Daphnia pulex: one gene and its partner. The protein of the gene in region 1 binds, or shares a complex with, the protein of each later gene. Links are inferred from orthologs where the notes say so. Each region holds a gene or a part of one and is shown in the gene's direction. Other genes may lie near its edges.

The links.
Region 2: pre-mRNA-splicing factor RBM22-like (region 1) and pre-mRNA-splicing factor SPF27-like share a complex: the UniProt entries of both Homo sapiens proteins name them as parts of the postcatalytic spliceosome P complex. The link is inferred for Daphnia pulex from reciprocal best matches to the Homo sapiens genes RBM22 and BCAS2.

What each region holds. Positions count from the first base shown.
Region 1 is NC_060024.1:7,162,047-7,168,931, forward strand, and holds pre-mRNA-splicing factor RBM22-like, read left to right. Parts: upstream 1-2,510; 5' UTR 2,511-2,554; intron 2,555-2,610; exon of another isoform or gene 2,611-2,630; intron 2,631-3,286; exon of another isoform or gene 3,287-3,304; 5' UTR 3,305-3,380; coding exon 3,381-3,434; intron 3,435-3,507; coding exon 3,508-3,561; intron 3,562-3,648; coding exon 3,649-3,912; intron 3,913-3,972; coding exon 3,973-4,488; intron 4,489-4,552; coding exon 4,553-4,909; 3' UTR 4,910-4,991; downstream 4,992-6,885. Other genes in the region: uncharacterized protein LOC124200919, read left to right, coding at 127-423, 492-653, 732-980, 1,049-1,081; uncharacterized protein LOC124200920, read right to left, coding at 1,105-1,131, 1,943-2,071, 2,131-2,226, 2,433-2,510; renalase-like, read right to left, coding at 5,050-5,211, 5,281-5,352, 5,425-5,522, 5,585-5,758, 5,826-5,932, 6,006-6,209, 6,268-6,373, 6,434-6,578. UniProt on the Homo sapiens protein: Required for pre-mRNA splicing as component of the activated spliceosome. Involved in the first step of pre-mRNA splicing.
Region 2 is NC_060018.1:4,111,989-4,118,285, reverse strand, and holds pre-mRNA-splicing factor SPF27-like, read left to right. Parts: upstream 1-2,405; 5' UTR 2,406-2,466; intron 2,467-2,536; 5' UTR 2,537-2,588; coding exon 2,589-2,693; intron 2,694-2,884; coding exon 2,885-2,977; intron 2,978-3,045; coding exon 3,046-3,218; intron 3,219-3,283; coding exon 3,284-3,394; intron 3,395-3,455; coding exon 3,456-3,621; 3' UTR 3,622-3,678; downstream 3,679-6,297. Other genes in the region: uncharacterized protein LOC124189006, read right to left, coding at 1-103, 271-641, 804-928, 1,096-1,341, 1,549-1,726, 2,650-2,681, 3,910-3,988, 4,053-4,155 and 7 more. UniProt on the Homo sapiens protein: Required for pre-mRNA splicing as component of the activated spliceosome. Component of the PRP19-CDC5L complex that forms an integral part of the spliceosome and is required for activating pre-mRNA splicing.

The sequences.
Region 1 (6,885 bases):
AATATGTAAGAGTGGATGATTAAATAGTTACCTTCCCACAATAATCACATGCGAGAATGGGTGAGTTGGGACAAACTTCAACGCTGGAACTAGGAATTCTAAAGAATAATCCGTCCCAATGTCGCTATGCCAGTATATAAAAGCTCTCAGTCGCCATCTATGATCAGTTTCATTGACAACGTCATTCGTCATTCTATTTTAAAGTTATCGTGTGGTCCTGTGGGGCATCAGATTTTACAGTCATCTGTCATACTTTACAGTCATCATACTAGTCCATCGGCTTGTCTCTTGAGGCAGGCTAGCTTATCGCCCGAACCAGAAGATGGTGACAAGGATGTCGATGTTGATCTCTATCAAGCCGCTGTTCTGATTTTGGCTCATTTGGATCGATTAGCATCTCCATTTATTCAAACATTCAAATCGGTATACTTTATTTCAATTTAGCAAATTCTTTGCAGATTTATTATTTGTTGTACATTGCCATTTTTTAGGATCGCGTAGTTATGGAAAATACTTTAATTCGATTGGATTTGAGCGCCGCTACGGTGGACCCGGGTGGACCGTTTCACAGTAGTCCAGAAACTTCCAATAACGATAGATCAAGTTGTCTGCACAGCCCTTGGTCTCCTGTTTCTTTCCGGCGATGGCAAAGTGTACACAATCAGCTATAACGATCAAGAACCGGTCAGTTTAGTCTTGCTCAGGATGAATTTTGCTTTTTCATTCGTTAGTTTCAAAGGATTTTGAGTCACGGAGATCAAGTGGGCATTGATGTTGGGCATCACGGCTGCTCCTTACCTGTGTTGCAGCGTTTGAAGAACCACGTTATTGCTCTTGCAGGGGAAATCCAAATCTGGGTGCCGTACAAGATACAGCTCAAGCTTTTCTCCAATTGGCTTGGAGTCTTCTTTTGCCTACTGCTTCAGAAAGAGCTTCAGCATTGCCCACACTTTTGCAAAGAGACGACGAATATGATAGTTGTATGTCCACAGAGAGATGCATTTCATTGGCTTGCCATCATCTAAGTTCATTTCGATTTGTCTTTAAGGTGGTGGACGTTTCATGGCCGATTTATTGGTGATTTCCATGATGGCGGACGGAGGGTTACAAGCAGCTTTCGAAGCTTCGTTGCTAGGTAAACCAGATAAGACCAATTTTATTTGAGTAATTTTTATTGCATGTTTTCTATCAAAATTTTCAGCTGAAGCAAATGATCTTGAGATAAACGGCCGATGCAATAACGACGCGGTATTGAGAATAGGGGATGGCGCAAAAAAATAAAAAAAATAATAAAACATACTATAAATAAGAGAAAAAAAAAATATCTCCCAATCATACTATAGCTGGGAAAAATTTACTTTTCGAGTTATTCACGTTGAAAGTTTCGACTACGTGGCCCACCTCTAAAACGCAGGAGGTGGCCTATTTATCACGTGATTCTTGGTGCATTACCGCTGGTCAGTTTTAACCAATGAGAATAGATCACGTGATCGGGGGAACCAATAGAAGCGGGGAACATCTGTCATTTCGTCTGTGTCCGCAAGGTGTCGCGTCAAGCTTGTAGCAATCTAGTTTTTTTACCGCCATGTGGTAAAAGAATGAAAAGTTGTTTTCAGGGATACGCATTCTATTGGCTGTTGCCGGTCACGTGATCTGCTCCCATTGTAAAAACTGACCAGAGCTAAGCTAAAACTGGCAGAGCCAGGGAGTCGAAACTTTAAACGTGAATAACTCGTAAAGTAAATTTTTCCCAGCTATAGTTTGATTGGGAGATATTTTTTATTTATTTTTTCTCTTATTTTTAATATGTTTTATTATTTTTTTAATTTTTTGCGCCATCCCCTATTCAGACAGCATGGAGCCGGAGGAAACCGTTTACTTTCTAAAATTCTAAAAAATGAAGTAAGTTAACAGTTCATTATAAATTAAAATGTTCTCTTACCTTGCATGTAGCTATATGAGTTGGGGGCTGGCAATAACATATGTTCTTTTCTCTTGAAAGACCATAACCTTTCGGCATCCGATAATGGCTTATGCGGTGGCTACTCAAGCTGAAGATTGACGTAAAGGTCTGAAATTACAAAAAAAATTATAATTGAAATATGTAAGAGTGGATGATTAAATAGTTACCTTCCCACAATAATCACATGCGAGAATGGGTGAGTTGGGACAAACTTCAACGCTGGAACTAGGAATTTGACCCAATACTCCCTCAGCCTGATTGTCCTGAAATTTAAAACATGAACATGAATTAGAAAATCATACCCCAGGTAAAAGCATTGTGGATTGCAGATTGCAGGACTTCTTTCCCCTCGATCAACAATGCTATTCACCTAGGGAAGATTGCTGTTGGCAGCTGAGGGTTGGTGGGTGGCTCGACTTCCATGATTTAGAAGGAACTGTGTATATAAATCAAAGTTTACCAAACTTACCTCTAGCGTAGTCTTCTTCAGTTTTTTTACACACATAGACAGGTTCTTTAGTCGCCTGTTAAGCTTCAGGCTGGCCATGGTAGTTCCAATTTTCTTCAACTTCTGGATTTCTTTTGCTAAAGGTAAGTTTGAATGAGGTTAAGAATGAGTTATTACTTTAAAAAATAATGTTACTTACCATCTTTGTTTAGTTTATCCACCCTTTTCTCTATCTCGCCTAAATCCTGGGTAAAATTTGATTCCAGTATTTGGATTGGTATTGGTATTGGTAGGATTAGGTGCGTCTGCTATGTTTAGCAGACATCTGGTCTTCAACTAGATGACCTTCTTGCACCGACGAGATATTTTTTCTATTGATTTTTTTGAGCGATGGCGTGAGCAGTGTAAGTGTTGTATTGTATTGTGTGGAAGGAGCCCCAAGAAGGGGGATGGAAGTACCATCATTGTGTACGATTTGGCGCTAGTGCCTGCCTTTTTAGGAAGAGATCTGTATTGTATGTGTAGTGGTAGTGCCCGGGTATGGGAGCAACTATGCTCACCGGGAGAGTCGAACTCAGGTCTCAAGGTGCTCCCCGATCACCAAGCGACGCCTTATCCAGCTCACCTACCCGCCCCCCCCCCCCCCCAGTATTTGGATATCCATGTCAATTCAGAGTTCAGACGTCAAAAACAAACACTTAAGGAAAAAGGATTGTTTATCGATATTTAACTTTAAATCGATATCCATTGTTTATTTATAATATTTAATTACTTTATGTTATGGAAATTTTTTACAATTCTATTTAAATTATTACACACATTTATTAATTTAAATAAAAATTGTCATAAATTTCCATAAAATGAAGTAAGTAAACAATATATATCGATCCAAGTTAGTATCGATACCGAGACAGACCGATTTTAAAGTTATCGTGTGGTCCTTTGGGGCATCAGATTTTACGTTTCAAAATGGCGCTGTCGAAATCATCAAACACTTATGGACGTACAAGTTGGGAAGATTCGGTAATATTATACTATTTTGATAGTTTAAAATTGAGACTGATACTAACCAGTGAATTAATTTAATATAATTTAGGAGTTTCCAATTCTCTGCCCAACATGTCTAGGAGACAACCCTTACGTTCGAATGGTGAATGAAACTTAACTTAAAAATGCATACGTTAACTATGTTTTTCGTAATTCTTATTCGTAATTCGGTTCCCCTAATTTTTTTTAGATGAAGGAAAAATTTGGCAGTGAATGTAAGATTTGTGTCAGACCTTTCACAACCTTCAGATGGTGCCCTGGTGCCCGTATGCGCTTCAAGAAAACAGAAATTTGTCAGACTTGTGCAAAACTTAAAAATGTCTGCCAGACTTGCTTATTAGATCTTGAATATGGACTTCCCATTCAAGTCAGAGACCAAGCACTTAACATTAAAGACAATATTGCAAAATCTGATGTGAACAAAGAATATTTTATTCAAAATGCTGAGAAACAAGTAAGTTGAATGCTGCTTTGAAATGAATTTTTTACATTCATGCATTTTTATTGTTGACAGCTTTCTGCAACAGATCATGGTGTACCTGGAGCTGCTGGTGGTCCAGGAAAATCTCATCCTCCATCAGATCTTCTGATGAAATTGGCACGCACAGCACCATATTATCGTAGGAACTTGCCACACATTTGTTCTTTCTGGGTGAAAGGTGAATGCAAAAGAGGAGAAGAATGTCCTTACCGTCATGAAAAACCCACTGATCCAGATGATCCATTGGCTGATCAGAACATTAAAGATCGTTATTATGGCACCAATGATCCAGTGGCAGAAAAGCTCATGCGTCGGGCTGCCACTCTTCCTCGTTTGGATGCTCCTGAAGATAAGTCCATTACCACTTTGTATGTGGGTAACATTGGAGAGAAGATGTTGGAAAAAGAACTACGAGATCATTTTTATCAGTACGGTGAAATTCGATCCATCACTATCGTTTCACGACAGCAATGTGCTTTTGTAACATACGTCACCCGCTCAGCTGCAGAATTGGCTGCCGAAGGAACCTTTAACAAACTAATTATTCAGGTACGGACCTTTTACTTTCTGGTTTCAATTCCCCAAAACTTATTCAAATTATTTGAAAATTTAGAATCGGCGGCTTGTTATTCGTTGGGGTAAATCTCAAGGCAAACAGAATGTTCCTGGAACAACAAATACTGAAGCTGGAGCTCGTTTTGAACCTGTTCCGGGTCTTCCCCGAGCTTTGCCACATCCTGAAGAATTGGAGCATAACTTTTTCAATTTAGCTCCTACAAGCAATGCATACCCATCTCCTTATCCTCAATATCCACCATCCACATATCCATTGATCGCTCCACCACCACCAAACCCCACACCAAATCAGGCGGAACTTCCAGTATTTCTTGCCGAAAGTCAGCAGGGCATCCATTACCCTTCTCAGGATCCGACTCGTCTTGGCGCGATTAATAAGACACGACAAACATAACGACAGAAATTTTCAGAATTACGATATGCTTGTCTGTAATTTTTGTATTTCCGTTTTTGAAATTTAAACTCTCACGATAAAATGTCCTGTAATTTATTTTATTTAATATCTATAAGTTTTTTTGCATATAAGGTTTTGCGCTATAAATTGGCTGTTTTTGATGTGAAGTGCTGAATGATTTTTTCAGCCGACGATACACAACCATCGAAGTTCGAATGAGTAAATCCATCCCCACCAACTAGCAGAAGAGGTTCCTGGGAGATCTCAAGTACACCCGGCTGATCTTCATACGGTTTCGTTACCTTAAAAGCAAATAAAATAAAAAGGTAAAATTTGCAAGCACACAGAAATGAAAAAGGGTTAGTGAGAACCTGGGAGTATCTCCATTTATGGCATTTAAATGCCTTTGGTGAAGGTAGATCGGGGAAAGATCGTTTTAAAGCCTTAATCAAAATGTAAAATTCAAAATATAATCTCGGACATTTTAAAACAAAATGTTATAATGCATAATTTACCTCTTTTAGAATAGGTTCCGCTTCTGGGACGGTTAGATCAATATGTTGTACACCGAAGGGGACAGATGTGTGAAGAATCACAGATGTTGGGACGTCAGCTGGATTAACAATATGAGTTGGTAACGTTCGATTCATTCGGCTTGATTAAAATAAAACTTACGCCGATTTCTTCTTAAATTGTCGACTGCGATGAATCGAAATACAGGATCATCTTTTATGTAGGAGGCATCGAATGGTAAATTCAGTTCAGTGCCGTGATCATAATACAAGCTCATTACATAACGTGCACTGTACTTGACATTTTCCAATTTTGTCTTCATTTCATGGTTATTTTCTACAAATTAAAAAGTAAGATTACAGATAACTAAACTATATAAGTTATAGAAAAGATGAACGTTTACCAAGAATGTCTTTTACACTACCCCCCAATTGCAGAATTTGAGGGACAGGAATTGTTAAAATAACCACATCAAAATAGTTTTGCTTTCCTTGAAGAGTTGAAACACACCTAATAATAAAAAGGGATATAGCCAATATATAATTGAATTCTACTGTTTCTACATTTGTTTGCTATGAAATACCATTTCTCATTTATTCTAGTCACACTAGTAATATGGTGTTCAAACTCTGGTTCACACTCGTATTTATTAAGAAAATATTTGACAAGGGAGCTCATTCCATTTGGAGAGATGTAATGCTTGGTTCCTGCTTCATGTTCATGACAATTGTTGATGTTTAATTTGAGTGGCTCTAAAATTCCCACAGACAAAAGTTCTTCATAATACCTATAAAGAAAATTTAAAATTTAAACATGTTTTCAAAATAAATGGTCTTGAGACTTGCTTGCTATGTTCCTTGCCATAATGGGGTGTGCAGGTTATGTATTGTGCCCCTAGATCAGCAGCACACAATTGATTGTGAGGACTTCGGCTTGTTGACATTCGCCCTCCTTGAATTTCATAGAAAGTCAGTTAATGTAAGCACATTTGTAATACGATTTAAAAATTACCGGCTCCTCTAGCTTTTTCCCAGATAGATAGTTGAACCTGATCATTGATATTTTCTTTTCCTAATTTGAGTAACGAAGCGGCCACCAAGCTTCCGGTAAGGCCACTTCCAACGATCAAAATTTTGGGCATTTTCGTACTAAGCATATCTGAAACAAATAAAGAATTGTGTTTGTATTGCAGACGTCAAATTAATTATTACTCAATGATAACATTGCTTAAAGCAACATTGTCATGTGAGATTTTTTAAAGCGATTGGATCATTTTCAGTTGCTGGGCCGAAAATGACTTGGTGTAAGGCTCCAGTTAAATTTACAATTTGAATATGCTGATTTGGCTGGTTACAAAAGTCTCCGATTTAACAAGGTAACTTTACCGACTAGTAAAAATGTTACCTAAAAGAATATGAGAAATAGGGAAAGGATTTTCACAATTTTGTTTGTATAACAGTTTT
Region 2 (6,297 bases), on another chromosome or scaffold:
AGCGGCAGACTTCTTAATCACGGCGGAGTACGGGTTCAACTTCATCAATGCTCTCATGTTGGTAAGAGGATTGCGCTTAACAGATGCACGACGGATCATCTTCCTGTAATTTAAATTGTATCGATTAGTCATCTTTGCACCAGACAGTATCACTTGAATGATAAACTGCGTTCAGATTAATTTGCTAATCACAAAGATTCATAACCCAATGCTCTAAATGTGGTTTTCATCATTAATTAATCAATAATAAAGATTAAAAAGAAAGCTTGCCTTGGTCGTCTGATAACCTTCTGGATTTCATCAGACTTCAACAAACGAGACAAATCTGTTCCGGTCATGATGGGCTGAGGCAAGTTGTAGTTGCTCTTCAGCTTAGACTTCTGACGCCAAGTACCGTAGAGGGCGTTCAAGCGTTGGAAAGCAGACTCGGTCCAGATGCAGAAACGGCCAACATGACCACCAGGAGCAAGCTTCATGAGGTTCAGTTTGTTTACTGAAATCATAGAAACTCCGGGGATGTTACGGAAAGCCTTGGTCAAACCCTGATCTCTGCCATAGATGACCAGTGGACCCAATTTGCTGGTACGGCGACGGTTGCGCATCTTACCCTTACCTGCGCGGAAACGCCTGGTCTTGTAAACCTGTAAGAAATCAGATTAATTAGACGGTGTTCACACATAAAATCATTCATGACTCAGATTTTGTTCAGAGCTCTAAGGTGAAATCATTTACTCATAAACACAGACCAAGAAGCAACTCATCATTTTCCCGTGATAATTATACATAAATATCTAGAAACAAACCTTCTGGACATCAGTCCATGCGCGAAGACGGCGCAACAACACGACGGCCTGTTTGGTTTTTTTGTATTCTTGAACCTTGTCCGACACAACCAAAGGCATCTCCGGGACATCATTGATCAAGTGACCTGAATGTAAAAACATTTTAGTTCTAATTCAATATGACCTTATTTACTACTATCATTGTATGGATCAGGGACTCATGGTATGACTTCATGCTTGTCAGAAACACAGGAAACACATATTCATCATGCTAGTATGGAACCGTGCAATGATGATCTTGGCTCATATTTACCTTTGGACATCACCAAAGACGGAATACCCGAAGCAGCGACGGCCGAGCACAATGCAAAACGTTTCTGGTTAACGTTGATCTTGCGATGCCAACGGCGCCAGATCTTGGTGGGGGCAAACATACGTCCACCACGACACATGTTACCATAGGCACCCTGACCGGAGCGATGGGTACCACCTCCTCGGACACGGGGAATACGAGCCACAGCACGACCAGTACCCCATGATTCAGCACTTGTCTGATGACCTGTAATAGGAAAGAAGAAGATTAACAATCACACCATTACATGTGTGTATGAAGTTTGTCCGGTTGCCCAACCCCTCACTTTAAGAAAACAAAGCGAGAAAGGCCTCAGGGACTCGCTTTAGTGTTGCACACTGCACAAGAAGAGTCTGACGTACAATTACTCCTACATTTCAATGCTGTGTGCCATATAATTGGCATACAAGTTACCTGCTTTCTCGCTGACACAATAAGGGTGACGACGATTCATTGACATTTGTTGTTGAACAAAGCTGACAATGTCTGGCCTAATGGGAGCCCTGAAGATTGCAGGGAGCTGGATGCTGGTTCCAGAGGCCTCAGCCTTCTCATTGTAAACGGTAATCAACGGCCTCGCGACCACCTTACTCTGTAAAACAAAATGGATAAACAAATTAGATTTAAGATTTTCAAGAGACAACACTTGAATTTACACAAACTTTGAACTAGATGTACCAATTAACCAAAACATAACAATAAACCAAGAACGACGTTGAATTAACATAGAAAAACAGCAAGAGCCCATTTGACACGAGGACGAAACCACGCTGTGGGTAACATTTTACTCCCAAACTTTCGCCATAGATTAACAAGAAAATGGCTTAGAAAAATATACGCACGCAAGAATTTTCTTAAAACACGTTTCTCCCGTTAACCTTTTTACTTACTATTCGTAAATTAATGTATGTAAAAACTAGTAAAATGTTTGGAGAACCTCATGCTTACCATCTTGGTAGATAGTCCTGACCGGGTAAAAAGGCGAATGAAAGAGACCCACAGTAATGGCGACAAAGAGGAAGTCTACAATGTTGCCGGCATACTTTGAGAATTGCCGCCCTCTACGTTCCGTTTTTTACTTGATTATTTACTTGAAAAATTACAGATTATTCACTGAACTGATCCACTGTTTAATAACAAAAATTATGGAGTTTCAATTGATGATTTCAAACATTTTAATGGAGTGATTAGTTATAAAATTTTTAATATTGTTTTATTTGTTTCACAATGCAACGGTGTCCAAAATATTATTGAATAAAATTTAATATACCAATTTATTTTCATATTTTATTCATTTAAAGGAAGTTAATGATCTTTATTCATTATCAAAAAGTAAGTTTATGAATAATTAGACATAATGAAAATCAATTACTAAAACTGTGGCTCATATTTATTAATCCAGCAGAAAATCTGACAATCTTGCTGACAACAGACAGTTTGACACAAATCACAAAATGCCGATTCCGTCAACAAACATTTCCACGCCGAACGAAAGGATTTTGGTTGACGATTTACCATACGTTGACCAAGAATATGGAGATCCAACTCTACGAGAAGCGGTAAGCAAAACTTATACATTGCAAACTTTGAAATATTTGAATCGCTTCGAATTGAGGCTTGGAGATTCTTGTGTTAGCCTAGTCATCTCTAACATCAATACATTATTGTACTAGACCATAGTACTGTATGTTGCTGAGAACTCTCGCTCTTGTCCAATAGTTGTTTAATGAGAGTAATTTCTTTCTATCAGGCACTTGCATTGGTTGATGAAGAGACACGAAGATATAGACCAACCAAAAACTACCTAGAACATCTTCCTCCACTTGAGCTGTCAGCATTTGAAGTAAGAACTGTCTGCATGGAAGTAATGATAGGAGTGTGTAATAATTATGGAAATTATCATGTTCATAGACTCCTTTGATGAAGACTGAATTTGAGCGACTGTCTCAAAAGAAACCAATGGATGTTTTGAGCATGAAACGATATGAACTCCCACCCCCATCTGCTGGTCGTCTAAATGATCTTCAAGCATGGATAGAGTGTGTTGATAATTCAATGGCTCAATTAGAACATCAAACAACAAGGTTTGTTTTCTAAAAAAAAATTTTACAGCAACCATAAATTTAAAAAAATTTCAATTAAAAAACAGGATTTTGAACTTGGAATTAATGTCAGAGTATGGTTGTGAATCATGGAGAATTTATAACACTGTATTGTCCCAGATGATCCAACAATCTCAGAAGCATCTTCAGGAATTTAAGTATGATTTCAGTAAAGTAGACACCATATTGCAAAATACACTATTATATTTTTCTTTACAGGAAACAAATCCAAGATGTCAATTGGGCTAGAAAAAAAGATCAGACAGAGGTTGGAGACAAAATGAAACATTTGGAAGCCACTTGGTTTGGTTTGATCACTAAAAACTACGAAATCGAACTCGCGTGTGCTGAAATTGAGAGACAGTTAGCTTCACTTAATGAATGAAATTCAATGTAAACCTACTTTATCGAATTCGGATAATACACTGCAACAGGAAATTGATTCATCCGAGATTTTCAGTAAGTGACAACCAAAAAGATTTGGTTGTAAGGGAACAAAACAAAAAAATAGTATAAAGTCATGCACTTTCAGATTAGCTTGTCTTATAAATGGTAAGTAGCACGTTCTGATTTTATATATCACACAATTGAAAACGAGAAGAAGCGTATGAGTACAGCAAAGCGTAATTCAGAGAAGGGTAAAAAAAAGGGTAAGATCATAGGGAAGTCTCACTTGGGGCTGAACTTAAAGGTAAAGGGCGGACGGAAGACTCATCTTCCAGCACCATAACTCGTTGCTTTAGGACGCGAACCTGATAATCACATGACATTTTTATGTCGGTCACACTTGATAACTCGTAATTTTTCTCTATATACCTGCATTGCATGTCTTTCCGACATGTTGACCATTTGCTGCTCTAGTCTTTTTAATCGAGATTGGTACTTTTTCTTAGTCCTCTCAAGAAGTTGGACCAACGTCCTGAAAATTAGTTTACGGATATTACATATTTGTTGAAAACGTAACATATTGTAAGTTAAGCATTTAAAGATATCTTACGCGTTGGCTTTCTTGACATCGCTAACTAGTTCAGCCGACTGCTGACTACGGATTTCTGCACTTGAAGTGACGCGTTCAAGGGCTCCCGTCAACTCTTGGATTTTCAATTGGAGTCGCTTTTCTCGAACTGTTAATTCGTCTCCATCAGCTCCTTCAATTGAGGACAGAGGCTTTTCGCCTGATGCATCTGTGTTAGATCCCTATCAGTGAAAAGTGCGTTTAAGTAACCTAAATCATTCTCCATTTCAATATCCAAAAAACCTACGCCTGTGTTAAGACTTCGAAGTTGAGCGGCAGTTGCTTGTTGTTGGGCTTCATGAGTAGCCCGCTCTTTTTCAAGAATATAAACCTGAGTTCGAAGTCGTGAACGTTCTTCTCTCATGGCCATCAATTCCTAGAGAAACGATAGGATTAAATCTATTTTTACTCATTTATACAAAAGCAGATGTTCACCTGCATGATGACGGCCATCTCTAGATCAATTTTCCGAGCTTCAGCCAAAGGTAAGACTTCTTTAGGCAAAGGATCAACCAAAACTGACTCCAGGGGAAGCGAAACTTGTTGAACTGTGTTTTCCAAGCTTGATCTATCACCTACAAAAGATAATGAGAAAATGATTAAGTAATTTGCTTAAGTAAGCCTGGGCACAAAATATGTTACCTTTCAACCGGCCGATTATATCTCGTACTTTCCTTTCTGTGGGCTCCAGAGTACAAGCTGGATTGGATCCCGATCCTGAACCACTCTCCGCTCCACTTGAGGTAGAGCTTGTTGTACTACAAGATAGACGAGAAACAAATGGAATAAGAAAATTATAAGTCCTGAAGACCGACAATTTTTTTATTTTTTGAAGTACTTTGTGTGTCTTCCCGTGTCCTCCCAATTGTCTCGTTCACGATCGTATTTTGACAAGAGGGATCGAGCAAGATTCTCAGCCGAACGCCTGCGCTCTGTAGCGCGTTTCCAAAGCACACTAAGATCTTTACTATTGCCACCTGATTCCGTTTCCCAAGCGGTTCCACTACGGCCAGTCAACCCTAGTCCTGCCACTTGGCAGTTGGCCAATAGAAGAGACATTTCGCTTTCTACTAAGGCAGCTAGAACTTCAAATGCTTCTGAAACTCTATCGGCTCTTTCAAGTGCCATGCGTAACGCCATGCAATTTGATTCGTATTTGCCTGCATGAATAAACAAAAATAAAAAATAGAAAAATCTATTTCAGCATTTCTTTTATCGAATATGAATACCGAGCAGCACTGCGAGACGTTCGCCCAAAGCTCGAGACTCGGCAAGTGTCATCGAAAGCACGTCATTTTGAGCTCGCAAATGCTCAGAGCGGCTAGCCAACCGTTCCACTTCCAGCTCCAATTCATTGACACGTACAGACTCGGCTCCGGATGCGTGATGTGCCTCGCCTTGAACAGAATCTTGGTGAACGGAGCAAACCAACTGCTCAGCCACTCGAGCATCGCGTATCTAGAAATTATAAACAATAAAGACAAAGGCTTTACGTAATGGAGAGAGAGAACCACGTAAAGCTTCGAAACAAACAAAAAAAATATGATAAAGGCGGAAACTCTTTTAAGGGTGCAAAGTTATAGCCTTCATGGAAGCGGATTGTCTATCTTTTAAGGGAAGAAACTTATGATAAACTTTGTGCGATAGTTGAAAGGTAAACAGGTCCAAAGAAAAGCCTCGTGAATTAAGAATAGAGAAAAAATGTTGTTGGCTTCCAATACTGGACATGGCCTCTGGCAGACAAACAATGGGAGTGCCTGTGACTTTCGCACTAAAGAAGATTACGAAATGGCAAGATCCGGAATGTGGGCAGTCTCGAACTCGAAGCAGTGGGCTTTCTCCTTATTCTCACCTGAATTTACTGACACATCAATCACAAACACAGACAGAGATGTCTTACCCCAAAACTGGCGATTTGAGATCCGGTCAAGAGTTTTTCCCGGCCGTCTAGTCGTCTAATGCGCACCCGTTCAGCAACCTTGCAAACTGGACCTTCTTCCACAACAACGGGACTGGATACGCGACTTGATACCAACCGCTGGTGGA